4 linked regions of the Medicago truncatula genome follow. The protein of the gene in region 4 binds, or shares a complex with, the protein of the main gene of each other region. Links are inferred from orthologs where the notes say so. Each region holds a gene or a part of one and is shown on either strand. Other genes may lie near its edges.

Region 1 (7,608 bases), on a different chromosome or scaffold from region 4:
GACTTCAAAAAATATTATTTTATTTTATTACCGTAAACTACTATTTTGTTTCATTCCTCGTAATTGAAAAGTATGTTTAATATGATATTTTTTAATTATGAAACACTAATATGTTGTTCGTCTAATATATCTCTTATAATACGACGCATAAAAATTACCACTTTTTTTATTCTTGTCGGGATTTGATGATCTTAGTCTTTGCGCAACCGAGGGAGGAATATCAGTGACTCGTGAGGCAAGTTTCGCTCCAGCACTTAATAATAATATTCTCTTCATTGCAATGTCCAATGCGGTTTTGCTCAAGTCTTTTGCCATCAAATCTATTCTAGTCTTTACCAACAATCGAGCATGTATTATATATTTATTATTATATTTGTTTTACATCTTGAGTAGTTTAACTTGTTGATTCATTTCACACATTTACTTTTGCACACTTGTGAGTGATGATTTATATCAGGGTATGAGTAAATCCTATGATTAGTGAGCGTTCGCATACAATGCACCTTGAATCATTCTTACTTTTAATGGTTCATCTAAAATTTGTTCTTAAGATGACATATCATGATATGCCTTAGAATTGGATCATAAAAATACCTTAATTATAAAATTTCATAACTGTATGAAATTTGAAGATGTTCATAAAATTTGTTATAGTTTACTCATTGACATATTCATTTCCTGATTCTTAAGTGATATATTTTGAAAATGGTTTTTGAAAATATGTTAACATGGATTATGAAAATTTCATTCTCCAAACATGTTTTTAAATGGATCATAATTTAGGATTTATCTTTGAAAGATTTTCAAAAGAAACGCATCATTTGTTCTTGAACTTTTTATGATGCTGAGAATGTTCTCATCACAAAGATCAATTAAAATTTGCATGTATAAGCCTAATGAATTAACACTTGTGTAAGTTCATATTTCTTAGGCAAAAATTTAAATGTATATTGATTGCATTATTAATCAATATCTTGTTATGTAAACGTCTTTCTATATCTTTTATAGAAAACATATCCCTGATCATTAATACGCTAAAACTCCATGAGTTAGTCTCTTAATCATAATGGATGATAGACATGAGATTTAGAACAAGAAAAATATCAAAATATCATGATTTCGATACAATATATGTCATATGTTATTCTTACATATGTATTTTCATGAATTGATTTTTGATGACTTATCTAAAAATCATATTCAATGTCTTTCAATATGAATATTTTAATTGAGTTTTATCGTTGATAGGATTTCAACAAAATAAAAATCATATTTAACAAGAGAATAATTGTGTGAATTGTTAATATATTAACAATAAATTCAAAATTGATCTAAAAAGGGATTTACATATTTTGTTCCTAAACTAATATTGAACATATTCTTGGCATGAATATTTTGTTTAATCATTGTTGAATGTCTACCTTGTTGCACTTGCAAAATTTGGAGACAAAAATAGATATAAACATCAATGGCATACTAGTATATGTTTGTGCATAAATATGTTGCATAAATACTTCTCTTCAAACTCATCTTATGTGTTTAGAATCTCTTTTAAGCATGAAAACTTGAAAGATAAGTACCTAAGATAACTCACACAAGCACACTTACTTAGAGATAAGTTTAAACACATACTTGATTATGAACATGTGTGTTTTCCAAATTCTAAATACATGTAGTTGATTTCTATTATAATGAGAAAATCATATTGCATATTCATTTAAAGATGTTTACCCATTGAAAATATTTAGAAAAATATTCAACATGAAAATCTTTGAAGAGAGAAATATTTTTGACATTGTGTCAAATGACTCTGATTTCATCGCTTCCACTAATGAATTATTTTCTCTCGTTTTAAAAAATTGTTGAAAATGATCAATTGATCATAATTGTCATTATTCAGATGATAAACTGAAATGCATATTAATCATGATACATGCTTGATTATGTTTGATAAGAGAATATGACTTCGCAAAAAAACATGATTCTTATGTGCAATATATTTTTGTTGTTTCTTCCCACATCTGTACTTCATTTTTTTTTTACATATCATACTCAATATGAATATTTTTTCTCGTTCCTTTATTACTTTGTGCCTGTTTGTTTTGGTTTTTCAGCAACAAGAAGCACTTCTACAAGCCTCAAAAGTGGAAATTGAATTTTCAATGTTGTTTGGTTTGGTTTTTCAGAATTGTTTCTATCCTCAAAAAACAATTATCCTTAAAGCTACAATTTATAGCTTATGGCTTTCATAGAATCAATTATACATTAAATTTTATATTTTAATTATTAGAACCTATTATTTTCCTTTATTGTCCTTTAGCAATTCCCCTTCCTTTTGCTTTCTAATTAATTTGATGAACCAAATTTAATCAAAAAACTTAGCGAACCAAATTAGCCCCTGTAAAATATTTATGGTCATGAGCTACCAAGTTTTGGATTTTCCTTTACGGTGTCCCCATTCAAATTTACTGCATTTTTTCTTTTACACTATATTTGATTATTTTTGGCAACTAACTCTAGTATTATTTAACTTAAATATATTTATCAAAAAATATAAAATATATCAACAAATACTTTGTAAAAAAAAATTAGTTGATGATCGTATTTATTATGTTTTAAATTAATATATAGAAAATTTATTTATTTAAATTAAATAATATATATACATTTAGTATTAATATACATATACATTCAATTATGCACATTTACTTGAATTTAACTATGTCCATTTTAGTAACCATACATTCAAAAACAATTTTGATGAAAACTATCCAAACAACATTCAGTTTGTCTAATCAATTCTGCATTATTATATCCAAACATAAATCAATTCTATCAAAATCAATTATGTCAGAATCAATTCCATCTAAAGCTGAATCAAACACACCCTTTATTTATTTCAGTAATATATTCCAGAATTCTTTGGTCCTTTTATTTACTTAATTTTAAATATACAATCCAGAGTTCTCTGGTCCTTCTATTTATTAATTAACAAATATTTTTATTTGTTTAACTCTTACTAAGAACTTTCTTGAGTAGATAAACTTATTTAAGTTTCAGGACTAATTTTTAAAAGGGTCACAATTCAAACCCCTTTTCTTGTGACTATTTCTTCCACTTCAGGAAGAACGATGTGTATGATCATAACTTCCACTATCACCTTCATCATTGTTATTTCCACTTCTTCCAAAGACATAATCAAACAATCCAGAAGTTCTTGGTGGTTATATTTGTTGGTAGTTATATGAAGAATTTGTTGATGAGCCATGATGTAATCCACCAACAAAATCACAATCACAACAACATATACAATCAAAGTTCAAAGTTCTAACATCAAAGTCCCAATTTTTTCTCTAAAATTTCATCTAGTATTTGTTACCTAAATACTCAAATTAAGAGTATCAATTTAAAATTACCTCGAGTTTAATAAATAAGAGATTTTTTTGGCGGTGTCCGGGATTCGAACCTCAGACCTTGCATATATTATGCATTATCCCTACCAACTGAGCTAAACTCACGCGGATACTTAATAAATAAGAGATGAATGCACACTTTTTTTTTTTGTTTGAGTTTAATAAATAAATGGCTTAAATATGCATTCTGTCCCTGTAATTAAAGTACTTTTTGATTTTCGTCCTTGTAAAAAAAAATTTAAAAACATCCTTGCAATTTTTTTTTTGTTTTAAAAACATCCATGACCCCACTTTTTTGCTGACATGGGATGACTTTGGCCAAATGGCAGTTGCCACATCATTAAAAATATTTTTTAAAATTAAAAAAACTGAAAATAAATAAAAAAATCATAAAAAAATTCCATTTTTTTTAAATGAAGAAAAAATTGGAAATTAGTTTTTTTTTTTAAATCTGGAAATAAATGTTTGAAAAATAAAATAAAAAATTATATAATCTCAAAATTTATAACTTTTGAAAATATAATTTTCAGTTTTATTTTCGAATTTTTTTAATTAAAAAAAAGAATTTTCAGAATTTTGAAAGAAAAAAAAATTTAGTTAAAAGTCAAAAATTTAATTTTCAGCTTTTTTAATTTTTTTTATGATTTTTAAATTTATTTTCAGATTTTTTTAATTTAAAAAAAAATTTTGAAAAAAAATAAATAACTAATTATGTGGTATGCCAGGTCAGTATCATGTGGCAAAAGTTGCATAGTCAGCAATTATAGTTGCACAGTCAGCAACTATCATATGGTCAAAACAATTTAATTTTTTGCAGGATATTTTTAAAATATTTTTTTATTTTACAAAAGAAAAAAATCAAAATGCGTCTGAAATTACATGGACGAATGCCATATTTAAAATAAATATATGAATAAACCATCTCAAAAAAAAGAAAGAAACACAGCAAAATCGCAAATCGCAAATCGCAAACCTGAACAAAGAGAATGAAGCAAGAAACAGCAACACCAGAATCGCAAATCGCAAGCAGGAAGAGAAGTAAGTAATTGATTTGTGTAAAAAAGATAAAATTCAGGTTTGAGATGCCTGACTTGCACAAAAGATAAGATTCTTTCTTCTCCTGTTCAAATTTCTGAATTTTCAAGTCTGTAACGGAGTCCGTAACGGCGTTCCGTATCGGCGATTTTCCTGTGATTTTTGTTCTCGACGTGAAAAGGTCCAAAAACGGTCACGGTGGCCGCTGATACCGTTTTGTAACGTCCGCAATTCCGGTACCGGTCCGTTTTTTGAAACCTTGATCCGCTCAACAACAACATGGGGTATGATTCGGATAATTCACAAGATGGGAGAAACGAAGGTAACTTTGTTTATTGAAGATTTTAGAATAGGAGTATCAGAAGTTAAAGGAACTAGGAGAAAGTGGAAGTGTATGAATGTGAAATTTAATTATAGTGTTTCTCAGATTCAATATTAATTTTTTTTTTTTTGAAGGAGCACTATTAGAAGCTAGAAATGTAATGAAACCCTAGTTTACTCAAATAAACAACTCTGGGCATCGAGTTAAGTAATGATAAATACGAATCAGGAGCAGTGGGACGGAGTTTTCGCTTCTAAATTTTGTGAAAATGATCGATTGATGTATCACCGAGAATCTAGATGTATTTTCTTTGCTTATAATGGATGTTTATGAAAGTTAAGCTTTCTAGTTGCACCGGCACTTTAAGAATAGGCTTAGTCATTAAGGGTAAATCTGGGAGATGGATTTTGGAGGGCTAAGTCTTATATTTTAGTATATATTTGAGAATTTAAAATAGGTGAAAGAATGCCATGGTATATGATCATATAACAATTCAATCACACTTTATTCATTTACATGACATATAACAATTCATTGCACTTCATTATTTTTTTAACATACTTTATAGCTTTCATAATTTAGAAGAGAAAACAAGTCCTCCCCTCCCCTCCAAAATCTCTCCCCTAAACAAACCCTAAAGTAGGATTGACTTGGTGGCATCATTGTTAATTGCTATGTGCTGAAATATGTCAAGCCGTTTGTCTGTGAGTTTGACGCGGTGTTGATTTATTTAGCTTCGTTTTTTTGGTTTATATAGTTCATTAACTCAGTATGTTCAATAATTTGGCTTGATAGATGATGAAGAAGAATATGAGGAGTCTGGCAAGGGTAATCATTTTCTCGGGTTCATGTTTGGAAATGTTGATAATTCTGGTGATCTCGATGTTGATTATCTTGATGAGGTAATTTAATGTGTCCTTTGATGTTTCTGTGAACTTGCTTGTTGAAATGTTTTGAGAACCAAGATCGGGCTTCTGCATGCATATATTTGTTATTTTGCTTGATTGATTCCCTACGCACCTTCTCAGTAGTTTCCTGAAATTTCTAAGCTATTGTAGTATCATCATGATTGGTATGCGGAGGGTTTTGAAGTTGCTAAACTTTTTTATATTAGAAGATTTAAAACCATTTTTACTGTTTCTGTAAAAGAAAAAACCATATTTACTGTTTTGAGATATATTATTTTTTGGGAGGAGGACAGGTTTTTACAAAAACCTTTATTGTAGCTTTTTGAAAAACAAAAAAGGATGCAGTTTGGACATATTGGCGCAGTATGGTTGTCTAAACTAAAGAATTACCTGAGATTCAACTTTGGAAGATTTGATTTAGTAGTGTGCATAGATTCTTATTTGTTAAGATCAAGTGGTTATTTTACAAGTCAAATTGATCTTTATTAAATAGGTTTAAGACTTTAGGCATCATAATTTTCAACTGAGTATAGAGTGCGATAAAAGCTTGCCTTTGTATGTGTACAACAAGATTGATGTTAATGCCTATACTTTGAACTACTTTTAATGATCTGTTGGAGGTTCCAGATCAATTATTCTTTGTAGGATCTGTTGGAGGTTCCAGGATAATTGTTCATTTAGGATTTGTTTTCTTATTTTGAAAAATAGAATTATAATTATTCTTAGAATTATAATTATTGTGGGATGCACATTTTCTTGTTCTGGATCGTTTATGCTTTCTTCATTTGTTTATGTGTTTTGGTCAAAAACAGTAAAATTGGTGCTAAATGAGAATTTTTCCTTTTAGGATGCAAAGGAGCATCTATCTGCATTGGCTGACAAGCTGGGTCCATCATTGACAGATATAGATGTAAGGATATCAAATTTATTATTATTGTATTTTTTTTTTACTGTACATATCTAGATATCATTATCAGGCTGTAGTGTTGAATTTATAAATCAAAATGCTATCTTCTGATTTGGTTAACAAGCGTTAACTGTTAATTTTTCTTTGTATTTTCATTGTCTCCACCTCTTCAATTTTCCTTGATAAGAATGTGCTCTGTTTGCAGTTGTCAGGAAAGTCACCACGAACACCGCCTGGCATTGTTGAACAAGGTGAAGTTGTCTGTCAGGAAAAACTATATCATGCAGTTTTTGATATTCTGTTGGTATCTTTTTTCCTTTATCAACTGAGAGCACTAAGCCTGTGTTTTATTTCTACTGGAATTGTTTCCCACATGAAGTATGCTTGGTGGAAAATATCATGCAAAGTAGCTATTTTTCTTTTGTTATCAGTGAATTTTTTACCTAAATGTCTAACATATTCCCCCATAGTATCGGTGGAGAAATGAAGGCTAGCAGCACAGTCTTCATCATACTCTTGATGATTTGTCCTTTTTTAAAAAAAAATAATTCAGTACACTTACCACATCAATTGGTCATTTCTTAAGAAGTGTTTACTCTTTAAAAATTGAACCAATCATAAAGAGTGTGTTCTAAAGAATTTTTTGGGAATAAGATTTGAGAACTTTTGGCGGTACCCTTAGTTTTAGAAATATTGTATAAATTATTATTATTTTTGTTAAAACTGGTAGTCATGCCTGATGATAGGGGTTTGTAAGGGCTAGTGGTGCACTTCAGTAGAACTAGACTAATTAAGCTAGCTGAAGTGTAGTTTTAGTGATGGTTTGTAGCTGTTTACATGAATGAATGGGTAATAGCGATCAAATGGTGGACTGGCTGTATGGTGTTCCATGGCTATACACTGGCTTCCTAAATATGGTGTCAGTGTATGTGCTTCTGCTTTCTGTTTGTATGATGCACCCATGGTGATTTTTATTTCTCAGGTGGAGTGCATTTTAGTTGAAACTAGTTGCCTTTTAAAAAG
Region 2 (7,304 bases), about 22 Mb from region 4:
AAGACTTTTTGGATCAATTTTATTTTCTTATGTTATCTTATCACCCTTTTGACTGTTCAAAAAAAATCTTATTACCCTTTTGATTTTGAACTCTCTTCTCTTCCAAATGTTGTTCAGGTTCTCTAATTGACAATCCTCTCATGAAGGTAAACTCAAATATCGAAGAACAGTTTCCTATGGACGATGAAATAATAGTTTCCAGATCAAGACTCTCTTCTATCGTGTCTCAGTTTCCAAATGGGACTGAAGTTCAAGCAACATCTAAACATGAGTTAACTTCTTCACATAAAAATGGCAATGAGTCAAATGTTGTGGAGACAAAAATGAAACAAACAGAAGAGAGAAAGCAAGAATTTGTTGTAAACATTCCTGGTTTAGAGATTCCTTCGGTAGCAAATTCACCAACAATTTCACAAGTAATTTTCCAGCCATGTCCCTTCCTTCGATATTCTTCTTATAAAATCCATTCTTATGGATATAATGAATATAAGGAATGTAATTAGTAGTTTCACATCTCTAACGCTTAATTTCCTAATCGCAGGAGTTGTTGAATGAACAATCAACGAGTCAACAATGTTTGATGGATCAAAGTATTCAAGAGGGTTCTACGTTACAGAAAACTGTCGCAACAACTTTTGCCACCGTTTCAGAAACAAGGAACGAGTCTACTATACAATTAGCTGCTCCCAAACAAAAGGCAACTATTCGCTCGACTCTCTTTCAACTTATATTGGAAATCAATTATGCTAAATTGCAACCCACTGTAATATCTTTTTAATTTTATGAAGGTTATCAAGTTAAGTTTTGAAGATACAACAACTATAGCTAATGCCAAGACAATAACATCGGCAACTCATTCAGAACCGAATATTTCATCATCAGGGCCATTAGTTACTTATGAGCTTAAAACATCTTCACATGTGAGTTTACTGTATGGAACCAAGCTTTCAAGCATTTACTTCAACTACTACTTAAAAATATCATGCAACTAATTTACATTTCCATGGTTTGCAATTAGTTGGAGGGTTCTATGTTAGGCAAAATAGAAGCAGCAAGTTTGTCCATCATTTCAGGAACAAAGAATGAGACAGATTTACAATTAGTGGCTCCTAAACAAAAGGCATTTCCCCTATTTTGCTTGTATTCTTTTTTGACTCTTTTTTAATGCAGGAATTGAATTATATTACAAACCTAAGTATCCTTATAATTTTAAGCAGGTTATCGAGATAAGTGTTGAAGAAGGAAGTACATCAACACATGTAGCAATGGAAGATATTAACAAGCTGATCGAAGAAGACCCACTTCTTGCATTTGAGAAGCTTCTTACTGGACAAGTGCCAATTTCCTCCGTTCAAATTTTACTTCAAGAATTGAAGACTTTGGACTCATCGTCAGACCTTGACGATCTTGTATCTAACCAAGAGTCCAAATCAAAATTGATTTCGCTTGTTCATCAGTTGAGTCAGCATCAAGAAATGTTAACTTCTGAATTGAAGGACTTTGTTGAGAAAGTGAAGAACTTCTTCAATGATAACATTATCAAACACGCCACTTCTCAACAAGTATTCAACAAGCACAACCAACTTCTTGCTTTGAAAACTGATCTCATGAACAAGCTTTGGAGTGCAAAGAGTACACAAACCCACATTGACGGGGAATCTTCAACTGCCAATGCTCAGATACATGAATTCTCTTTACAAATTGATGATTTGAAGTCAGTCCTGAACAAATGTGATGTTCAGAAGGATAAGTTGAAGGCTGAATGTACTGAGTGGGCACAACAAAGTAAAGAATAACTTTCTGCACTTGCGTCATCCGGGGTCGATGTAAGAGAAGCTGAACTTGCGAGGAATTTCGCAACAGAAGGCTTTGCAAATTTAAAATCATCCTTTCCTACATTTTAGGAGGGAGCCTCACAAAAATAGGATAGGGTGTGATTAGTGTTTTTGTTAATGTCGTTTTGTTTATGTAAGCTTAGTACTGCGCTCTTTTTTCCTTCATCTGGTTTTATCCCATTGGGTTTTACAAGTAAGGTTTTTAATGATGCAGATGTATCACATTGTTATTCACTTAGGTATTAATCTTTATTTTATTTTAATAATATTTTTTGAGTGCTCCATATGATAAGTGGTAGGATTGCATTTCAAACATAGTTGGATGTTTTTCTTACCATATGATGCTTTTGCAATATTTTTTGTTAGAAGAGAATAATATATACCCGCGTTGCACCGTGCAATCTGCATTGCACGGTGGGAAAATAAAACTTCTGAGTTGAAGGACTTCGTTGTGAAAATATAGAACTTCGTTGAGAAAGTATAGAACTTCGCCAATGACAACATTATCAAACACGCTACTTCTCAACAAGTATTCAACAAGCACGACCAACTTATTGATTCGAAAACCAATCTCATGAACAAGCTTTGGAGTGCAAAGAGTACACAAACCCACGTTGACAAAGAAACTTCAGTTGCCAATGCTCAGATACATGAGCTCTCTTTACAAATTGATGAACAATCGGCAAGTCTTGAGAATCAAAGAGAGGATTTGAAGTCAGCATTGAACTAATGTGATGTTCAGAAGAAAAAGCTGAAGGCTGAATGTTCTAAGTGGGCACAACAAAGTAGAGAATTACTTTCTGCACTTGCTTCCTCGAAGGTCAGTGTAGAGAAGCTGAGCGTGCGAGGAATTTGGCAAAAGAAGGCTTTACAAATTTAAAATCATCATTTCCTACATTTTAGGAAGGAATGACAAGGTGCAATACTTTCTTACGTGCATGTTGCTTGTACTGATATCTTCTTGAACTTAGCATTGAAGATTAGTAAAAGCACACTTTTAGCAACTAACCTATGTATTGTACACCTTTCAGAAGAAAAAACCATTTGCATCGTAACTTTCTATGACAACACTGAAGCATTGAATTATAATAAAACTCTAATATATATCTGATTTGAACAGCTTAACAATGAAAAAGAAAGAAAGAAAAACTTAGGAAAGTCAAAAGAATATACTAAAATATTATGAACATAAGAAAAATAATAAGGAAAAACTCATGTTCGATTTTCTCCGATGCTAATTTAAATGATTAAACCACTTTTTCATACAAATTTATTTATCTTAATAATTTAACCAATACTCTGAAGACACTCATTAGCATTTTTCTTAGTTTTCACATGAAAGATTTTTATTTGATCTTAAATTTGAATCACCGTGATCTTATATTAATGAACATAAAATTGTATCTGGAGACAAGTTTTACTTCCCTCTTTTTGTATTGTTGGCCGTGAGGCCTATTTTTGTTGTAGGATGAGTTTTTCAAATTTTTTGTTTAATGTATAAATTGATGACTTCGGTAAGTAGATTTTAAAGAAAAATTGATTTTTGAATCATGTCATAAAACGTCTTAAAAAAAGTGACATAAATAGTGACTTATATCAACAATCTCTTATTTGGATGAAAAATAAAATTTAAATTATTTTATTAATATTGTTCCAACAATGCTTCATCCAAAAATATATATTTTGATCCTAGCTAGCTGATGCCACAAGTGCACAACATGAAAAATCTCGTGCCATTGGCAAACCTAGGAAAAAGTTACTCCAACCTTCTCACAATAACGAACCCATTTTCTTGTATGAAGTTATAAATAATAAAATAAAAAATATTTACAAAATTAACCTAGTTAACGATTGTGGTATTTCTATTATCATAATAAATACAAGGCTAAACTGCACTTTTCGCCCCTAAGTTTTAAAATGTTGCGATTTTGACCCCCTATTAAAAAAAATGCGACTTTGGCCCCTTTCGTCCAAAAATTGCCGAGAAGGTGCCACGTGCCCCAAAAAAGGGGCCATAATCGCAACTTTTTGTAAAGATAAGGGGTCAAAAAACATATTTCTCTTATGTTAGGGGTCAAAAGAGCATATTTCCCTAAAGATGGGGTCATTTTTGCCATTTTTTTAATAGGGGGTCAAAATCGCAACATTTAGAAACTTAGGGGGTGAAAAGTGCCGTTTAGCCTAAATACAAAGTGTAAGTCAAGAAACAAAAATACAAAGTGTAGAATAATAATTTAGGAGGGTGTAATAGAAATAACAAGGGTGCAAAAAGTTTCTTCCTTTGTTAAAACGGAAAGGCCCAATATTTCACAGTTACATTCTACAATAATATTTCAGAAGCTTCACTACACAAAAAAATCTCAGTTTCTCTCTTGTGGTAGTAGCGAACCCTAGATCGAATCATGTCTGGAGGGTACGGTCACGATGCCGGAGGTGGCTCTGCGCCACCTTCCTATGGTGCTAGTGGTGGTTACGGAGGCGGAGGAGGTGGTGGCTATGCTGGTGGATATGCTGGGAATGAAAGCGGTGGTGGTTACGCAGCGAAAGGAAGCGGAAACGGTGGTGGTAGAGGATATGGAGGTAACGATGGTGGAGGTTACGGTGGAAGGAGTGGATATGGTGGAAACGATGGCGGAGGATATGGTGGAAGAGGTGGTGGCGGTAGAGGAGGTGGTGGTGGTGGTGGAGGATATGGAGGTCGAGGTTTGTTATTTTGATCTGTAATTTGTTTTCTTTTTTAGTTAATTTTCAATCTTATCGTGTCTTTAATTTCTGTGGATTGATGTGAACTTAAACAGGTGGCGGTGGCGGTTTTCAAGGTGGAGATCGCGGTGGCCGAGGTGGAGGTGGTGGCCGTGGTGGAAGTGGCAGAGATGGAGATTGGCGTTGCCCTAACGAAAGGTATTTGATTTTTTTCTGCCAAAAATTTATGATTTTCACTAGTATTTTTTATTAAAATGAACAATCAATTTAGTCTCCAAACTATGTAAATATAATTAGTAGTCCTAAATTATGTAAAGCCCATCAGTTTAGTTCCTGCACTTAAGATATTAGGGGCAAAAAGGACGGATTTTAATGTACATTTAGAGACTATATTAACGAATTTTATATAGTTTAGGGACAACTTATTATATTTACATAGTTTAAGGATTAAATTGATGGGTTTCATATAGCTTAGGGAAAACTTATTATATTTACATAGTTTAGAGACTAACTTGATGGATTTTATGTACTTTAGGGAATAAATTGACGAAGTTCACAAAGTTTAGGAAATACTTATTATGTTTACATAGTTTAGGTGCTAAATCGGAGAGAGTGATAGTTTAGGGACTAAATTAATGATTTATTTTTTCACTTAACTTTATTGCTGTTGATTTGATTCTTACGTTTCTTATCTGATTCAATATTGTTATTTATATAGTTGTGGGAACAATAACTTCGCTAGAAGGAGTGAATGTAACAAATGTGGTACCCCATGTCCTACCAGTGGTAATGACCGCGGTGGCGGCGGCGGCGGCGGTGGGTATAATAGAGGAGGAAGTGGTGGAGGATATGACAGTAACCGAGGAGGTAGGTCTGAGAACTATGGAGGTAGAACTAGTGATTATAATGGTGGAAGGGGTAATAACAATGATGGAAGAAGTGGAGGGAGCAATAGGGGTGGCTCGTATGGCGGGAATCAAGGCAGAGAAGATGGTGGCTATGGTCAAGCACCTCCTGTTGCTGCTGCTCAGTCTTATGGTGGTGCTGGTGGAAACTATCCACCTACCTATGGTGGGAATGCAAATTATGGAACAGATGCCGTTCCTCCACCTACAAGTTATACCGGTGGACCTAATTCATATCCTCCTTCATATGGGGGTAACACGGGTGGTTATGGTGGAGGTGATGCACGGAGTGGTGGCAGGGCTGTGCCTCAAGCTGGATATGACAGTGGTAATCGTGGTGGATTTGGTGGAGCTCCTGCTGAGCCAGCTCCAGCGGCTCCGGTGAAGCAGTGCGATGAGAATTGTGGAGATACATGTGACAACTCTAGAATCTATATCTCAAATTTACCACCCGATGTGACTGTTGATGAATTGCAGCAACTTTTTGGAGGCATTGGACAAGTAATGTTCTGATCTGTTGACTTTGCACTTTTTATTTGTCGCAATATTTTTATCACGAATGGATATTTTATATGAAAGTGCCAATTTCAGAGTAAATTCAAGTTCTCAGTCTGATACATAATACATATTGAATTGTGCTTTGTGTAAGAAATATAATCCTGTTGTACTTGTGCTAATAGGTTTATATTTTCATACGAGGCTTCAACATACTAGACATTTTGTTACATTTGTTTTAACTTCCTATGTTGGAAGAATAAAGTAGAAAAGGGGAAATAGGTTTATTTTTTTTAATTCTCTTTGAGAAGTATTAGAGGCCTCAACATTCTATCACCAAAAAATAAATAGGCCTGAACATTCTAGACGTTTTTTACACATGTTTTAACTGCCTAGGTTGGAAGAATAAAGCAGAAAGGGGTAATAGGTTTATTTTTTGATTCTCTTTGCGAAGAATTAGAGGCCTCAACATTCTATCTCCCCCCCACACACACCAAAAAAAAGGCCTCAACATTCTAGACATTTTGTTACATGTGTTTTAACTGCCTAAGTTAGAAGAATAAAAGCAAAAATGGGTAGCAGGTTTATTTTTTCGTTCTCTTTGGGAAGTATCAGCTGCCTCACCATTCTAGACGTTCTGTTACATGTGTTTTAACTGCCTAGGTTGGAAGAATAAAGCAGAAGAGGGGTTATAAAGATCAATGGCCTTACAACATTAAAATTTACACTGATGAAAATGGAAAAAACAAGGGTGATGCATGCCTTGCTTACGAAGATCCCTCTGCAGCTCACTCTGCTGGTGGTTTTTACAACGGTACTTCTTGTAACTGCTTTTTTCTTGCTATATACATTGATATTATTTCTCATACAAAGTTGAACTAATCACGATTCTGCATTTTCAGATTATGATTTGAGGGGTTACAAAATCGGTGTTGCAATGGCAGAGAAATCTGCACCAAGGGCTCCTCCAGCAAATAACCATGGGTATGCATTACACACTGGATCTATCTGTTGGAGATGAATGATATGCTAACGTTGTAGATTTGGATCGAAAACATGGGTTATTGTCATAATAACTCAAAAGTGTTCACTCATTCAATCTCTATCCATATCTTTTATTTTATTTTTCATTTTTTTAAGCATAAATGTAGTAAGTGGAGCGTTGAGCTCATCCATCTTCTAATCATCATAACATTAACGTAAAGGATAAATGATTTTCAAATTTAGGTTTTTTTCAATTTGGATTTGTATACTTTACATTTATTTGGCATATAATTATTTTATTACACTGATGACATAATACATCAACTGACCATGTTATACGTTTGAGTGTTCTCTTATGTGAAAATGAAAATTCTAACCCTTT
Region 3 (7,142 bases), on a different chromosome or scaffold from region 4:
TGACATTGGTTGACCAATGTTATCAACCACAGTGTCATTCAAGTGCTATCCTATATTATTGATGGTCTTTTTCATTGCACTATAGAGATAATTGATCAATCAATATCAGAAAGTTAATTCACAATGAATCATAGTTTTTTTTTTGGTCAAGTAGTCTAGTAGTTAGAATTCACTTTGAATAAGTGGGTGTCCGGGGTTCGAACACCGGCCCCTGCATATAACAATACATTATCCTACCAACTGAGTTATGCTCACGGGACAAAAACAAAAGAAAAAATCTAGCCCAAATTGATATATTCATTTTATATAGGGTTAATAAGGTTTTGTTCCCTTCATTTGAAAAAGTTTTGGTTTATCCCTGTAAATTTTATTTTGGAAATTTCTCTTGTAATTTAAAAAATATTTGATTTAGATCATCAGAGCATAGACTTTGCAGAAATGCTGATGTGACATGATAATTTTTGTAAAATTGAGTAAGTGGCAACCGACTTGTCTTTTTTAAATTTTTTTACATTTAATTTTTTTCCACATGGAATTTTGTTTTATTAAACAATAATTTTAATTAACTAAAAACATTTTATCTCAGATCTATGTTCGCCAAATCTTGTCACCATCATGGTTCTTTATCATCTTCGTAAGCTTAGAAATAGTCTCTTTACCATATTTTTTTTAGAAATCGTCTCTTTACCATCATTTTATTCATGGTTTTGGATCTGAATTTTTTTAGATTTGAGATTTTGGTTTCTAAGTCATGTCAAAACCCCAATATTGGATGATATAGTGAAAACCTGGGGAATTATTTTTTGGTTGATAAGAAAATTTTCTTGATTCAAAAGCTTGGAGGATTTTGTTAATATAAGGGTTAATTAAGTTTTTGGTCCCTATAAATATTTGCAGTTTTTTTTTTATTCCTACAAAAATAAATCACACTTTTTAGTTCCTACAATAAATTAAAATTTGTTTAATTATGCTTAAAATTTTTAATTTTCTAATGATTTTTTACATACTTGTTTAAAACATTATAAAAGGTTCCGCTACAATAAATTAGCTCAAAATTTTATTTTTAGGTCCATATTTTCGTTAGTTTTATCTTGAATTTTTGGCTTTTTAAAAAAAATATATTTAATTCATTACATGTTAAAAAATTATAATTTTTATAAAAGAGATTATTATAATGTTCTTAACATGTCTGTTAAAAATCATTTAAAAATATAAAAGTTTAAGTATAATTAAACAAATTTCAATTTAAATAGGGACCAACACATACTTTTAGTCCTTGTAAAATTAAAATTTGCTTAATTGTGCTTAAACTTTTAAATTTGTAACATATTTTTCACATACTTACTTAGAATATTATACAAAGTTCCTCCGCAAAAAAGTAACTTAAAATTTTATTATTAGGTCCAAATTTTCATTAATATAATCTTGAAAATTTGGCTTTTAGAAAAATTCATATTTAATTCATTACATGTTAAAAAGGTAATTTTTTTATAAAAGAGTGTCTTACGATGTTATGAACATGTATGTAAAAAATCTTTCAAAAATTTAGAAGTTTAAGCATAATTAAACAAATTTTAATTTTACAGGGACTAAAAATACTAACAGAAAATTTTGTAGGGACTAAAAAGTGTGATTTATTTTTATAGAGACTAAAAACAAAACTGCAGTTATTTATAGGGACCAAAAACTTAATTAACCCTTAATATAAAAAGGTGAATGTAGGTTGAATGTTATGATGAATTCTAATTATTATTAATTTTGAGTATTTTAATATATAAATAAAATAAATAGCAAGATATGTTTTTTTTTTTTGTTTGTTTTTTTAAAAAATAAAATTGTTTTACACATTCAACACACCATGTAATGAAATTAGTACAATTAGCTCTTTTCAAAGTCCAAAACTAAATAATTTTTAAATTACAAGGGAGAATCTTCAAACTTTATTTTTTATAATTGGTAAACCAAAACTCGCTGAAATGGCATGGGGTAAACCCTATTAACGCTTTTATATATTGTTATAGACTATATTCATTTGATCTTTTTATTTATATGTTTTTTGTTCTTTTAACAACTAATTGCTGACATTTGTCATTTAAAAAATCATTTATTTTAAGGACAAGACTTAGGTGTATTTTCTTACATACTTTTCGTATAGTTCTTTGCGCTCAAATGGCATGGGGTAAATCCAATCAACCCTTTTATATATTGTTATGGACTATATTCATTTGATATTTTTTACCGTTACCAAGTTTTCATCGCACTCAATTTCAAAATGTTTATGTAGACGCTTAATCTATGTTGGTGGATCTAAATTCATTGCTCTTAAAACTAGAGTTCATAGGTGTATTATTCCGTCTTGGTTTGAAACATGTCTCATTAGGGTCGTTCCATGAAATAGGAGGCTCAACTTTCTTTTTAAAATAGGTTCCAGTGAAATAAAAATGCAATTTTTGTTTTTGTGTAGCTAAACTTCATTAAAAAATCAGAATCAGAAGAACTTCTATACATGAAATGAAATAAAATAAAATAAAAGTGAAAGAGAGGTGAAATTTACCAAACGGTGTCATTTGGATTTGTCACTCCGCCGTTGTGAAAAAGGGGAAAACTAATTGTTTATGCGAAAAGGAAATGATCGTTGTGATTCTTTTAATGAAATAACTTTTCAAATTGACTGATTAAGTGATTATAAAAATTGAAGATGGTTTGATAGCATCCGATTTATGTCCAGAAAGGAGAATTGGAATCTAGAAAAAAACTCAAACGTGTACCGAAAAAAGAAAAAGAAGTAACTTTTTTTTATTTAAGTGTGGTGTGTGTATTAGACTTAATTTTTTTTTTAGGCCCGTAACTTTTGGAGGTCTGGCTTGGTTGAGCTGCTTGCGCAGCCCCAAGTTCGGGCATGTGTCTCATTACTTGATATGTAATGTTGTTTACGAAACATTTATTGTAAAATTAGATTTGAATTCGAAAACATTTAGGAATAGCAATGGGTACCCTATGAGTAGGGTACTACAGTGCCCTTTCTCATACCCGCATTTGTAAAAAGTACCTGTATCCGCACCTTGGTGAGCAACAACTTTATCGTCCTTCTCCATACGCTATGGGTACCTAAGTGCCCATACCCACACCCATTACCTGCACTTTAACTATGAAAAGACAATAAAAACATCACAATTGAAATAAACTATGGTCCTAGTTTTTCAAATTACCTCATAAAATAGTATGATGGTAGTATTTAGTCATATAAAAAACATTCAAAATATCACCCATCCCTAAAAACATTAAGGAGAAAATGTATGTAAGTAATCATGTTTGGTGTAATGAACACTTTTTGGACTTATCATCTCAATATTAACGTAAAGACTTTTTAAAGCATTTGAATGAAAAATGGTAACATTGTAATTTTTTTATGACTTAAAAACCAATTTATTCAAGACAAAAAAGTTGAAGGACTAATTAGCTATAAACAACTTACTTAAGGACCAAGGATGATATTTGACCTTATATTTATAAACAACTAACTTAAGGGGATTATCAAATTTACTTTTCAATGGAGGGGAATGTAAATTTTAACATAAGAGAGGATGAGAGTGTAATTCAAGCATCTTTGAGGAGAGCGGAGTGTAATTTACTCTAAATTTTTTTTCCTTAAAGCGACGTACAATTTGAGACGCATGGAGTATTTGTTTTTTTTTTTTTACTATATTTTTTTATGTTAAAAAAGTAATTTTTTTAGGGGAATGTTAAAAAAGTTTATTTTTGTCGAAAAAATGTACTACCTCCGTCCCTAATAAGACTTTTTTGAGATTTTTTTTTCCTTTTTATAAGACCCATTTTCTATTTCCAACTACATTAATTATTTCTTTACATACCCCTATTTATTATACATCTTTTTCTTCAATCAGCAATAAATAGAATGTTGAAAACATAAACCAACCCTCTTTTTTTTCTTAAAGGATAAAATTGTAAAAACAATAGTAATTACAAACGTATTTAATACAAATATCTACTATCTTAGTTCCCGTTATTTTTTTAAAATGACCTTATAATTAAGGACGGAGATAGTATAATGTAACCACGTTGATCCGATTCATTTGAGATGCCCGACGGAAAACCCATTATATAAAAACAAAATCACATTTCAGGAACACACGAGAACCCGATCCGGTTTAGTATTCGCCACCGTCTCCGCCTCTTTCTCCGCCTTCAATCGTGTCTCCGCCTGTTTTCACTTTTCTGGGTAAGCCTTAGAGTTTATTTTTTCGTGCTACTTTTATGGTAAACCATGGAGAACAGAAAAATTTCCTCAATTTTTCTTGCTATTAAATTTTGTTGCTACTGCTAACGATATGAACATCTATGAAAGTTCATTTTGTTAATTCTATTGTAATTTTTATTACTTATTGTGTGTTTAATTTGTTTTTCTTTCAAATTATTCAATTTGGTGTTTTTTCTTTAATCATTCAGTTTGTGTATTCTATGTAACAAATGTTAGTTAGTTAATGTGTGCATCGTTTTATGTTAGTTAATTAGTTAATGCTCCAACCCCTGCCTTTCACATGTGAAGCACCAACACAGACAGACACAACACTGACACTAACACATCGACAGTTGTAATAATTTAAGAAAATGACATAACTGAATGTAATCCATGTGTCATTGTTGTGTCGGACATGGACATGTGTCGTTGTTGTGTCTGTGTCGGACACAAACATATGTCAGACACCAAACACGCCTTCGATCAGGAGTGTTGAGTTTGTGTTATGAGTTGCTCTATTATTATTGAGATTGGAAATGTTAATGTTAATGTTATTGTTGATTTTGATTTTTTCAAAAAAATTGAATTTTGAATGTTGATGGGAACAAGAGCAGTGAGTAAGTGGATAGCGATTGACCAGAAGATGAATCAGAATCAGCCACAATCAAGTTCAAGCGAAGGAAGGGCAGATGATGATTCTGCACTCTCCGATTTCCTAGCTTCCTTAGTTGATTATACTCCTACTGTCAGTTCACTTTTCACTATTTTATTTTATTTTTAAATTTAATTTTACTTGCATCCATCCATATTAATTACTTTTTTTTATATACTGTTTTAGATACCTGATGAGTTGGTGGAGCATTACTTGGCCAAGAGTGGCTTTCAATGTCCTGATGTGAGATTGTGGGTACCTCTTTTCTTTTTCATTCACCATTTTTACCAATCTAGTAACTTAATGTTCTTTTATGCTTCCATAGTTTGAGAAAATATTGAATTTCATGTGAGAAAGCTAGTTCTTTTATGCCTTGGAGTTGGACCATTCTGAGTCTGAGCCTCTACCATCATTTTAGAGTTCTTTAAGCTGTATGAAAATATTGGATATATGTTATATGTCATTTGAAACAAAATTATAGAATATAGATACAAGAGATTAGCATAGCAGTTTGTTTTTGTTCTGTTATATTTTTATACATAAGACCTTGATTCGTGTCTTTATCTATGTGCATCTTTCTTACCATTTACTGGGAATCCTATATGTACATGGAATCTATTTGATCAGGTTGCAGTGTGAAACCAAGGTTGTCAGTTAAACTAGTTTAATTTAAGTTAAAGAACGATAATGTATGCAATTGCTGTTGCTCGGACTTTCTAGCCTTTGTTTTCTTCTTTTTTTAACCTTGGGATTTATTTGAGTTTGTAATTATTGCTGTTTTTCTATTGTTTTTTACCTCTAGTAAATTTGTACATGGGTGCTTGTGAATATGGTAGGTCCTTTTAGGATTCAACATTTCTTCCATTTTGGTTGACTTCTTTTATTGATTTACTTAAGTTTGATTCTTGGCCATTTCATCTTTTGTTCTTATACCGATGTTTCAGGACTAGATTGGTAGCTGTTGCCACTCAGAAATTTGTTGCAGAGGTCGCAGGCGATGCCCTCCAGTATATTCATTTTTCCCTTTCTATTTATTGAATCTTAACCTTCTTTTTTTGTTTTATTTAACTTGAATGACTGCTTTGCAGCCAATTATATATATGTGCACAGTAAATTTGGGGAATAGTGTACCATTGAAATCTATTTCTAGTTTCCCAAAAGTCTTTTGGTAAACTAGAAATAGATTTCAATGATTGACTTTTGGCAAAAACGTTGTCAATGCATGTGGATGAAGTCGACCAGTGTCGGATGGAATTTTTCCTTTCCTTAATGAATGTGTGTCGAAGGCACTTTGTAGGATTAGACACCCAAATTTAATCAAATTCATTTGGAACTTGGCAACTTAATGTTTATGCTTCTATCCCCTTCTTTTGTATAGGTCCATAAATAAATGTACACACACAACAACTTAATTTTTGTGCTTATGTCCCCTTCTTTTGCAAATGCATTACTATCTCCTTGATCTCAGTCATATAGTGATTTCACTTGACGTTAACTGTAGGCACTGCAAAGCAAGGCAAGCAACAATTCCAAAAGACAAAAGGGACAGACAACAGAAGGTTTTGAGTCTTGACTGATTTTAATCTGGTTTTGTCCATACGCGTTCACTGTGTGTGTCTAGTACTGACACTTCATTATGACAGGATAGGCGCCTTGTCTTGACGATGGAAGATCTATCGAAGGCACTGCGTGAGGTAAGAAAATTTGTCTTGATTTAGAAGGGACGAAATTAACTCCTTGTTACCACTAATTGATAATATTTGTTTACATGCACCCTCAATTATAATGCTATGCATGTATATATATTAATTTCCTGGTATGTGCTCCCATCGATGCATTTGCCTACATAGCTGCTAGCTTAGCTAGCTATAGCATACTGCCTTACCATTAATACAAGTCTCTTCATATCAACCGTTCATCTCCCTAAAAATATATTGCTCAGCTGCTCTTAGATTGTTGTTTTGTTGCAAGTTTAGAAAAGTTGGTGTGCGGTTGGTGTTCACACAGTGGGAAGAAGGCCTTGCCAAAGTTGTGGCAATTTACATATCTTCATAGAGAAGAGGATTGGGGTCAAACTAGTATTGCCTCTGTTGCTTTAGGGCTCATTGTTTTGAAGTGTCCTTGTTTAGGGCTCAGTCTAACAAGCTGATCTAGCTTCTTTTCTTGTGTCCTTGTGATTGGTAGTCTGAATGGGTTCATTGTTTTGAGGTGTCCTTGTTTAGGGCTCAGTCT
Region 4 (8,125 bases):
TTTCTTCCAAAGAGATGTTTCATCAATGATAAACTAACTTCTTGGTCTTCTTCATCATTGACTTGACTGTTCTCTTAACTAACGCAGTTTCTTTCTTGTGATTGTGAAAATATGGCTTGTGTTGGACTTTTGGTGATCTCTTTTTGTCGGAAAGCTGCTCAATCCCCACGGATTCCCAAATTGAAATTATACTAACACCAACACTTTATAAACCATTACCGGTAAAACTATTTACTAGAAGGGTAATTTTAACAAGTTTGATATCCAATTCAGTAATAGATTAATACTATGAAAAATCAATCTCACTTCACAATAACAATAATAATATTGTGATAACTTGGCTATGCAAAAATTATATCTTTTGAAAATAATACTTTTGTATTAAGCTACATTACTAATAACATCATTTATAAGATAAAGTTTTTTTTTTTTTGAATTTCTTATCAGTTGATCTTGAGACACTTATTAATATTCCTTTAATTAAAATATCAAACATTTCAATAAATATAATACAAACATTCTCAAAAAAAATACAATCATTAGTGGGGGCAATTGCCCCTCTAATTTCATGTGTGTAGATCCGTGAGACGGTGACAAGTCATTGTAGGTGAGTTGATATTTCAGGGTCCATCAAGATTAGAGTAAACTTTAAAGCTCAATGAACGCTTATATAAGCACTTATTCATCTACCAAATGACCATGTAAGTTAGTCAAATCTTTTAACTTTCTTTGACTAGACTCGTCCAGTGAACTACTACGCATTATGCTTAAGAGTAAAATGCATAATAACAATTTACACACAAAAATTAACCACTCAACCTTGATGATATGGGTTCGAGATCGTGACACTGCGAATACAATTTATACACAACAAATAATGATGACATCTCATCCAAATTCAAAGCACGTCTAGAACACGAAAAGACCACTAAACTTCAGGGGTTGTAGCATCGAACAATAACACTGAGAAGTTGGAGTTCATGCACACAAAATGGCAAACATATTTTTTTTACTAGAGCACATCCCTTTTACAAAAATTATTATTATAGACGGATAAAATGACAAAAATTATTGAAAACTCACGCACACAAATGGAGAAGTCGAATTTCTAACTTTGATTTAACATACTTATATGCAACAATATATATATTTTTGAAATATTATATACAACAATATTTTTACCAACTAAGTTTTTTTTTGAACAAACAAAAATGAAACCTATATAATAACAAACCGAAAACTCTCCGTAGTACAAGGTGTACCAAGGAGAGCCCAAAAAATTACAGATATACAAAGTCCAACAAAAACTTAGGCCAGACCCAAACAATCCAAAGGCCTTGACCACCACAAATCATAACCGAAAACAAAAACGATATTACTAGCTTTTAGCCAACACAAAGAGCGTCGCTTCACTTTATCCAACAACTGATCAATGGAACTACCTATATTAGTAAACAACCTTTGATTCCGATCATTCCAAATGATCCACGCACAAAGTAACCAAACAAGCTGCAAAAGAGAGCGTCGAGCCCGCACCCTTCCTGCTGAATGAGTAAACTGAAAGAAGTGCTCTGAAACCAATAAGGGGTCTGGACCTGAGGCACCAAGCCAAGACCGAACCCGAGACCACAAAGAACCATAATAATCACAATAGATGAATAAATGCTGAGAAGACTCCAAAGCGTCGCACCCTAACAAACAGCCCGCAACAGTGGCTGGAAGGATACCATAATGCACTAGATTTTGCCTTAAAGGCAAACAGTTCTTCAGCAACCTCCAAGCAAAAATAAAGACCTTAAGCGGAACATGAATGTGCCAAACCAAAGCATCAGCACCATCCACCTGAGGCCGATCCTGAGAAGTCAACAAATGATAGGCACTCCTGACTGTATAACCTGCAGAATGATCCAGCGCCCATCTCCATGTATCTTTCTCATTAGACTGCAAAGAAACATGACGAAGTAAAATAATACACTCCCCCAGCATCTCCTCCTCCCACACCTACAACCTCCGCCTCCATCTCCAACCCTCTCCCCCAACGCCCACCCACTAGAGAACATATGCGCAACCGAACAAGACTTATCTAAAGTAAGGTCAAAAAGGTGCCTGAAGCGCACACAAAACGGGACATCACCAACCCACACATCACGCCAAAATAAAGTATCTACCCCGTCTCCCACCATACGAGATACTCCCTCCTGAAACCAACCACCACCAGAAACCTCCACCCCATCCCTAATGTTAGCGATTTCTCACCACCACGCAGAACCACTCCAGCCCCCAACCTCCAACCTCCCATCCTCCTCACCATATCTCGCCACCAAAACCCTATACCATAAACTATTCCTCTCTACCAACAGCCGCCAACACCATTTACCTAACAATGCAATATTAAACTCCCTCAACCTCCGCACCCCCAAACCTCCAAACTCCCGCCGTGAACAAATAGTGGTCCAACTAACCCAAGAGAGTTTCCTAAGCACCTCACAACCCCCCCAAAAAAATTTAGAAAAAATAGAATCAAGGGAAGAAATTATACCTGACGGAGCCTTGAAGAAGGTAAGAGCATAGACAGGAAGAGAGGTCAAAATTAGGTGTGAGCATTAGGGTTGTTCATCAAAATAGGATATTAGGTGTGAGCATTAGGGTTAAAACAGTAAAATTATGCAATAAGGTTTAGGTTAAATTTAGAGCTTACGGGTTAACTTTAATATATAAGAAGATTAGATGATAGCATTAGGGTTGTTCATGAAAATAGGAGATTAGGTGTGAGCATTAGGGTTAAAACAGTAAAATTATGCAATAGGGTTTAGGTTAAAATTAGGGCTTACATGTTAACTTTAATATATAAGAAGATTAGGTGTGAGCATTAGGATTGTTCATGAAAATAAAAGATTAGGTGTGAGCATTAGGGTTAAAACAGTAAAATTATGCAATAGGGTTAGGTTAAAATTAGAGCTTACGGGTTAACTTTAATATATAAGAAGATAAGAAGATTAGGTGTGAGCATTAGGGTTGTTCATGAAAATAGGAGATTAGGTGTGAGCATTAGGATTAAAACAGTAAAATTATGCAATAGGATTTAGGTTAAAATTAGGACTTACGGGTTAACTTTAATATATAAGAAGATAAAACAAATAAATCAATTGTATTTATCTATATCTCTCTATATACATAGAGGGGCTATCAACCGTTAAATCTAACATTCCCTAAAAAAAAAAAAAACGTTAAATCTAACATAAGTTTTTTGACAAGAAATCTAACATAAGTTGTTGATACATATCGTGTGTGTATTGTAAACCACAATGTATAAAGTTCGGATGTTAATCATAAAAAACGATACACCAAGTTTTTGTGTAGTTTTTATATTTCAATTTTATATCCTTAGTTTATACTATACTATTTTATTTATAAAATCATTTTACGAAGACTACAAATCAATCTAGATAGTTAAAAATTTATAACTCTCGCATACACTATGCATCAACTACTTGCATTAGTTTCCATTGATATTATCATACGTCATGTAAGATATTTTTTTACAATCTTATTTTCTTCACCCAATAAAATAACTATTTTAAAAATAATTACGTAGAATTTTGTAAGTTGAATATTTTTATAGAGAAAAACAGGTTCTAGGAAACTTCAATAAAATACATGGTGCAATTGCAAATTTCTTTCTATAAAAAAACTCTTCCAGAAACATTATGGTGCGGCTGCTAGGCTAAATAAGAAAAGGAACACACGCGCAAATTGAAAGAAAATTGGTTTCATTTCATCATTGATGATATCATCATCAATCATAATTTCAAAGGATGGTTGACTGTTAATGGACCTTGACTTGAACTTTAGAACTTAGATTGGGCAACGTGGTTAAAGAAGCAAGTTCCAATTTAAGTTCTACATTTTGGATGTCCCAAATACTCAAACTTTGCGGCTCATTAACTAAATTATTTAGACGTAAGGCTTACTTACTTCTGTGATAAATTATTACTCATAGTTTGAAATTTTTCATTTCGTACATATCACTCTAATTGCCCAGTCTCACTAGACAATATATGAACAGGGAACTGATGTGAACTTCTATTTAATTATATTAGATTGTTTGATTGTATTAACGAGTGTTCAGTTAGAAGCTAACACAGGAAATAATTTATGATGCAACTTAATATATTAGATTTAGTCCATATGTAATAATGAGTTGCAATCTAATTTGTTTCTGTTAGGAAAATGTCATAAAATTGTGAGCGCGTTTGTCATAGTTTAAAAAAAAAAATATTTTTGAAATAACTTACTTTGTTTTTATTTTTTGATGGTCGGGATTCGAACCCCAGACATTACATATATCATGCATTGAATATAAACTATATAAAATGAATTCTTTTGATCCTTATTTTCTTTCTCCTAGAATTTTGTTTTACTTTTTTGAGAAGATGCTCTCAACAGTTTCTCATTTAAAATTGTTTTTAGATTTTTTTTTTTTAAAAAACTTGTAACAAAAGAATCCAATTTTTTTTTTCCAAATGAACGATCCAATAATTTTCTTTTTTTGAAGGAAGGATCAAATATTCTTAAAAGTGATTATTTTCTTAAAAAAGCTATAACAAACCGGCTCTAAAACAATTTTTTTTGTGCGATTCAAGCATCCTTTATGCGTGCAAGACATGCATTCTTATTCTTGAAAACAAAAAAAAAGAAGGTAAGATTGGATAAAAGAGGGTGTAGCAATAGAAAGGAGAGTGTAAATAGTATCCCCATACATGTTTTGATCTGGGCTGAGATTTAGTGAGCAAGGCCTGTTATTCAAGAGCCCAAGCCCATTTATCAGATCTGATTCCAGAACCAACCCTAACGAGACCAGAATCAAATTCAACACGAAGTGTCTCTGCGATTCTGAGAATCGAAGTGAAGTGAAGTAAAAGGGTTTTTGAGCTTTGAGCTCGAATTTGCAATCGAAAATGGACGAAGACGAAATTCTCGGTTACGTAACCGCATACTTGAAGAAGAAAGGGTTTAAACAAACCGAAAAAGTTTTCCAAGAAGAATTTCAACAAAACAAAACAAGTTCATCCTCCAATTCCATTCTCGAACCTGACATTGCCAATCACCTTCATGCATTCTCTCAGTAATTTTCCATTCTTCAACCTAATTTTTTCATTCAACGATTCTTCCTCTAATTCACGTAAATTCGTAATGTATTGTGTTTTGCAGGTTGGAGAATGGTCCTGCAAGGTATCATAATGGATATAGTAGATTAAGAACTTGGACTTATTCTTCATTGGATTTATATAAGGTAATTAATACACTGTTTAATTGCTTAATTTCATTTAATTTGTTTATTGAATCAAAATTATGTTTTAATTTTTGCTTTTTTTTCTTTTTCTTTTCAGCATGAGTTGCTTCGTGTGCTTTATCCGGTGTTTATCCATTGTTTTATGGACCTTGTAGCGAAAGGGCATATTCAAGAAGGTACAATAAGTTCATGTACACTTGCATAGTTTTATTGGAATGTTTGGTTTTGGATTGACTTATTTGTTCTTATCTACTTACATAACCACTTATGAGAATGTTTGATAGAATTCATGGAAATAGAATTTGACATATTCATAAGCTTTTTTCAGTTGATTTCCATAAGCTCTCCAAGATAGCTTAAGAAAACTTTTACCTTATACGAAAATAGTTTGATTTCTTGTAGTAATAACCTATATACAAGAACTTATATGATAGACACTTATGTTATAAGTGCTTAATTAATCTGTTTATCCGAACATGACCGAAATGTGAACCATCAGATGTGTTTTATAAAATCAAATATTTTGTTTTTGATGTCCTCAGCTCGAAATTTTTTCACTACTTTCCGCGAAGACCATGAATTGATGCACTTACGTGACATTCAAAAGTTGGAAGGAGTTCTTTCTCCTACTCATTTGAAGGTTAGTTTCTATCTAAAATCTTATTTTACTCTCTGAGCATCTTCTTGTTTTTTGGATAATCATTCATCAACAGTTTGTTTTGAATAATCCAACTATGTTCTTTTTACTTAGGAAATGGAGTTTGCTCATTCGCTAAGGCAAAGTAAATTCAACATAAAGATATGTGAGGTAATATCTTTATTCTTCTGAATCTGAATTAGTTTATTGACGAAGTTAGTTACAGGTTGTTAGAGCTAGTGTGTAGGATAACCAGTTTCTAAATAGACCTGATGCACACTGTAATGATTATGAATTCAGAAATGAAAGAATAACATTAGAGATTCATAGAGTTCTCTCAAGTGAATGTACCAAGTGTTCATCTTCTAACATACTCTACTGGATTAATTTCAGACGTCCTTCAGCAATTTAACTCCCGTTCCATGCTTTCTCTTCTGTGTTACATGAATCTGTTTTTTACCAATTTATATGATGCTTTTTATTTTGAGAGAATGTTTGGCTATTAGGATTTGTTCCATAATGATGTCACTTAACAGGCAGAACAATTTGTAGGCCTATTATGTGTCTGTCATGAAAGTTATCTATGATATATGATCTCAAGGGTTAGCCATCTGGGGCTTCAACCCTTACTTCAAATCACTCAATTCCTTGTTGGGTTGCCCTTGGACTCTCCTTTCCCATAATGCAATGCAAATGACTCTTCATATCCAGAGGCGGAGCCCCTCATGGGCCAAGGTGGGCCATGGCTCATCCCCAATTTTTTTCTTCTTATTATATATATATATTATGTTTTGTAATTATATGATGATTGTGTAGCATGCTGTAGTGGTTAAGAGCCTTTTTGCCAAGTCTTATGTGCTAGGTTCAACTCTTGCCAAAGCCATTTTCATTACTCTTTTATTTTCTTTTGTATAAAAAAAAGCATTCATAATTGTTAAAATAATCCTTTTTTTTTGTTACTTAATCCTTTCTTTCTTTAATAAAACATAACTCCTTTATTCAATTTAAAATAATCTTTTCCTTCCTTACTCTTATTTTTGGGTACAATTGTCTCTTTACTCTTTTATTTTATTTTATTTTTATACAAAGGAAACTTCAACTCTTTTTTTGTCAAAAAAATTCTCTTTCAAAACACATAACATATTTTTTATATAAAAGAGGACCTCAACCATCTTTTATAATGCATAACATATAACATAAATGTTAAAATATCCTTAAAAAACATGATATCATAAAAATATTTAATTGTATAAACATTATTTTTTAGGTAAAAAAAAAAAAAAAACTTCCCTAAAAAAAAAGGTAAAAAAAAATACTATATTCTTTATTAAATTAAAATATATTTCATTATTGTACTTGATTATAAGTATATTTTCTTATGTAATGATCTTTTTTACATTAATATATATGTCATGAGTTTTATTTTAATTTTTTTTTTACTCGGTCGTTTGATTCAATTCGATTTAATACCTATACATCTGTTTATTGAAGTCGAGTTATTTAATTCAGTCGTTAGGTTCAATGACCTAGTTGTTCGATCAATTATCTTGTACTTTATTAAGGTTGATAAACGGTTCAGATTTTAAAATATCGGTTTGAATTATATTCAACAAATAACAAATTTGTAGTCATTGGAACTAACCAATAATAAAATGTACTTGTAAGAAAATTAAGCTCCATCACTATTTATGGCCCACTCTAGACTTTTTTTCTAGCTCCGCCATCATATCAATGTGGTTTTCCATTTAGGGTCCGTTTTGTGCACATGATATTCAAGAGACATGATAGGATTAGAAAATGGTTAAGGATAGGATAGGATAGGATAGTGACATGATAGACACTTATCCTATCATGTGTTTGGTGTACACATGATAAGAAAGATGATTGAGAACAAAAAATTCATATCGTTTAATTAAAATTATGAGGAATTGAACTTTATTGAATATTTTGGAAATTGAATTGATTGGAATAAAAAAAAAACACAACATACTGCATGTCGAAATCATTATAAGGAATTGAATTGAAATAAAAAAAATTGAATTGAAGAAAGCAAAAAATTTAATTGAAGAGAAGAAGAACACGAAATGAAAACTAAGGATAAAAAAAGTTTAAATCATCAGCGAAAAATTGAATTGGATAGAAGAAGAAGATCACGAATTGAAGAGAAGAAGATCACAAATCGATGAGAAGAAGAA

What was found.
Region 1: transcription initiation factor TFIID subunit 5 (region 4) and transcription initiation factor TFIID subunit 1 share a complex: the UniProt entries of both Arabidopsis thaliana proteins name them as parts of the TFIID complex. The link is inferred for Medicago truncatula from reciprocal best matches to the Arabidopsis thaliana genes TAF5 and HAF01.
Region 2: transcription initiation factor TFIID subunit 5 (region 4) and transcription initiation factor TFIID subunit 15b share a complex: the UniProt entries of both Arabidopsis thaliana proteins name them as parts of the TFIID complex. The link is inferred for Medicago truncatula from reciprocal best matches to the Arabidopsis thaliana genes TAF5 and TAF15b.
Region 3: transcription initiation factor TFIID subunit 5 (region 4) and transcription initiation factor TFIID subunit 10 share a complex: the UniProt entries of both Arabidopsis thaliana proteins name them as parts of the TFIID complex. The link is inferred for Medicago truncatula from reciprocal best matches to the Arabidopsis thaliana genes TAF5 and TAFII15.

The regions. Positions count from the first base shown.
Region 1 is NC_053046.1:11,045,566-11,053,173, reverse strand, and holds the start of transcription initiation factor TFIID subunit 1, read left to right. Parts: upstream 1-4,347; 5' UTR 4,348-4,399; coding exon 4,400-4,451; exon of another isoform or gene 4,452-4,727; coding exon of another isoform or gene 4,728-4,770; intron 4,771-5,565; coding exon 5,566-5,672; intron 5,673-6,525; coding exon 6,526-6,588; intron 6,589-6,790; coding exon 6,791-6,836; intron 6,837-7,608. UniProt on the Arabidopsis thaliana protein: TAFs are components of the transcription factor IID (TFIID) complex that is essential for mediating regulation of RNA polymerase transcription. Core scaffold of the TFIID complex.
Region 2 is NC_053044.1:29,927,399-29,934,702, forward strand, and holds the start of transcription initiation factor TFIID subunit 15b, read left to right. Parts: upstream 1-4,170; 5' UTR 4,171-4,237; coding exon 4,238-4,538; intron 4,539-4,633; coding exon 4,634-4,736; intron 4,737-5,256; coding exon 5,257-5,944; intron 5,945-6,334; coding exon of another isoform or gene 6,335-6,457; exon of another isoform or gene 6,458-6,517; intron 6,518-6,601; coding exon 6,602-6,752; intron 6,753-6,840; coding exon 6,841-6,922; intron 6,923-7,304. Other genes in the region: uncharacterized protein, read left to right, coding at 783-920, 1,019-1,120, 1,218-1,796. UniProt on the Arabidopsis thaliana protein: TAFs are components of the transcription factor IID (TFIID) complex that is essential for mediating regulation of RNA polymerase transcription.
Region 3 is NC_053048.1:37,498,748-37,505,889, reverse strand, and holds the start of transcription initiation factor TFIID subunit 10, read left to right. Parts: upstream 1-4,080; 5' UTR 4,081-4,240; intron 4,241-4,867; 5' UTR 4,868-4,901; coding exon 4,902-5,003; intron 5,004-5,096; coding exon 5,097-5,161; intron 5,162-5,854; coding exon 5,855-5,917; intron 5,918-6,411; coding exon 6,412-6,469; intron 6,470-6,553; coding exon 6,554-6,604; intron 6,605-7,142. UniProt on the Arabidopsis thaliana protein: TAFs are components of the transcription factor IID (TFIID) complex that is essential for mediating regulation of RNA polymerase transcription.
Region 4 is NC_053044.1:52,381,047-52,389,171, forward strand, and holds the start of transcription initiation factor TFIID subunit 5, read left to right. Parts: upstream 1-4,848; 5' UTR 4,849-4,958; coding exon 4,959-5,125; intron 5,126-5,211; coding exon 5,212-5,293; intron 5,294-5,390; coding exon 5,391-5,469; intron 5,470-5,835; coding exon 5,836-5,933; intron 5,934-6,044; coding exon 6,045-6,101; intron 6,102-8,125. Other genes in the region: uncharacterized protein, read right to left, coding at 1,309-1,941, 2,186-2,311. UniProt on the Arabidopsis thaliana protein: TAFs are components of the transcription factor IID (TFIID) complex that is essential for mediating regulation of RNA polymerase transcription.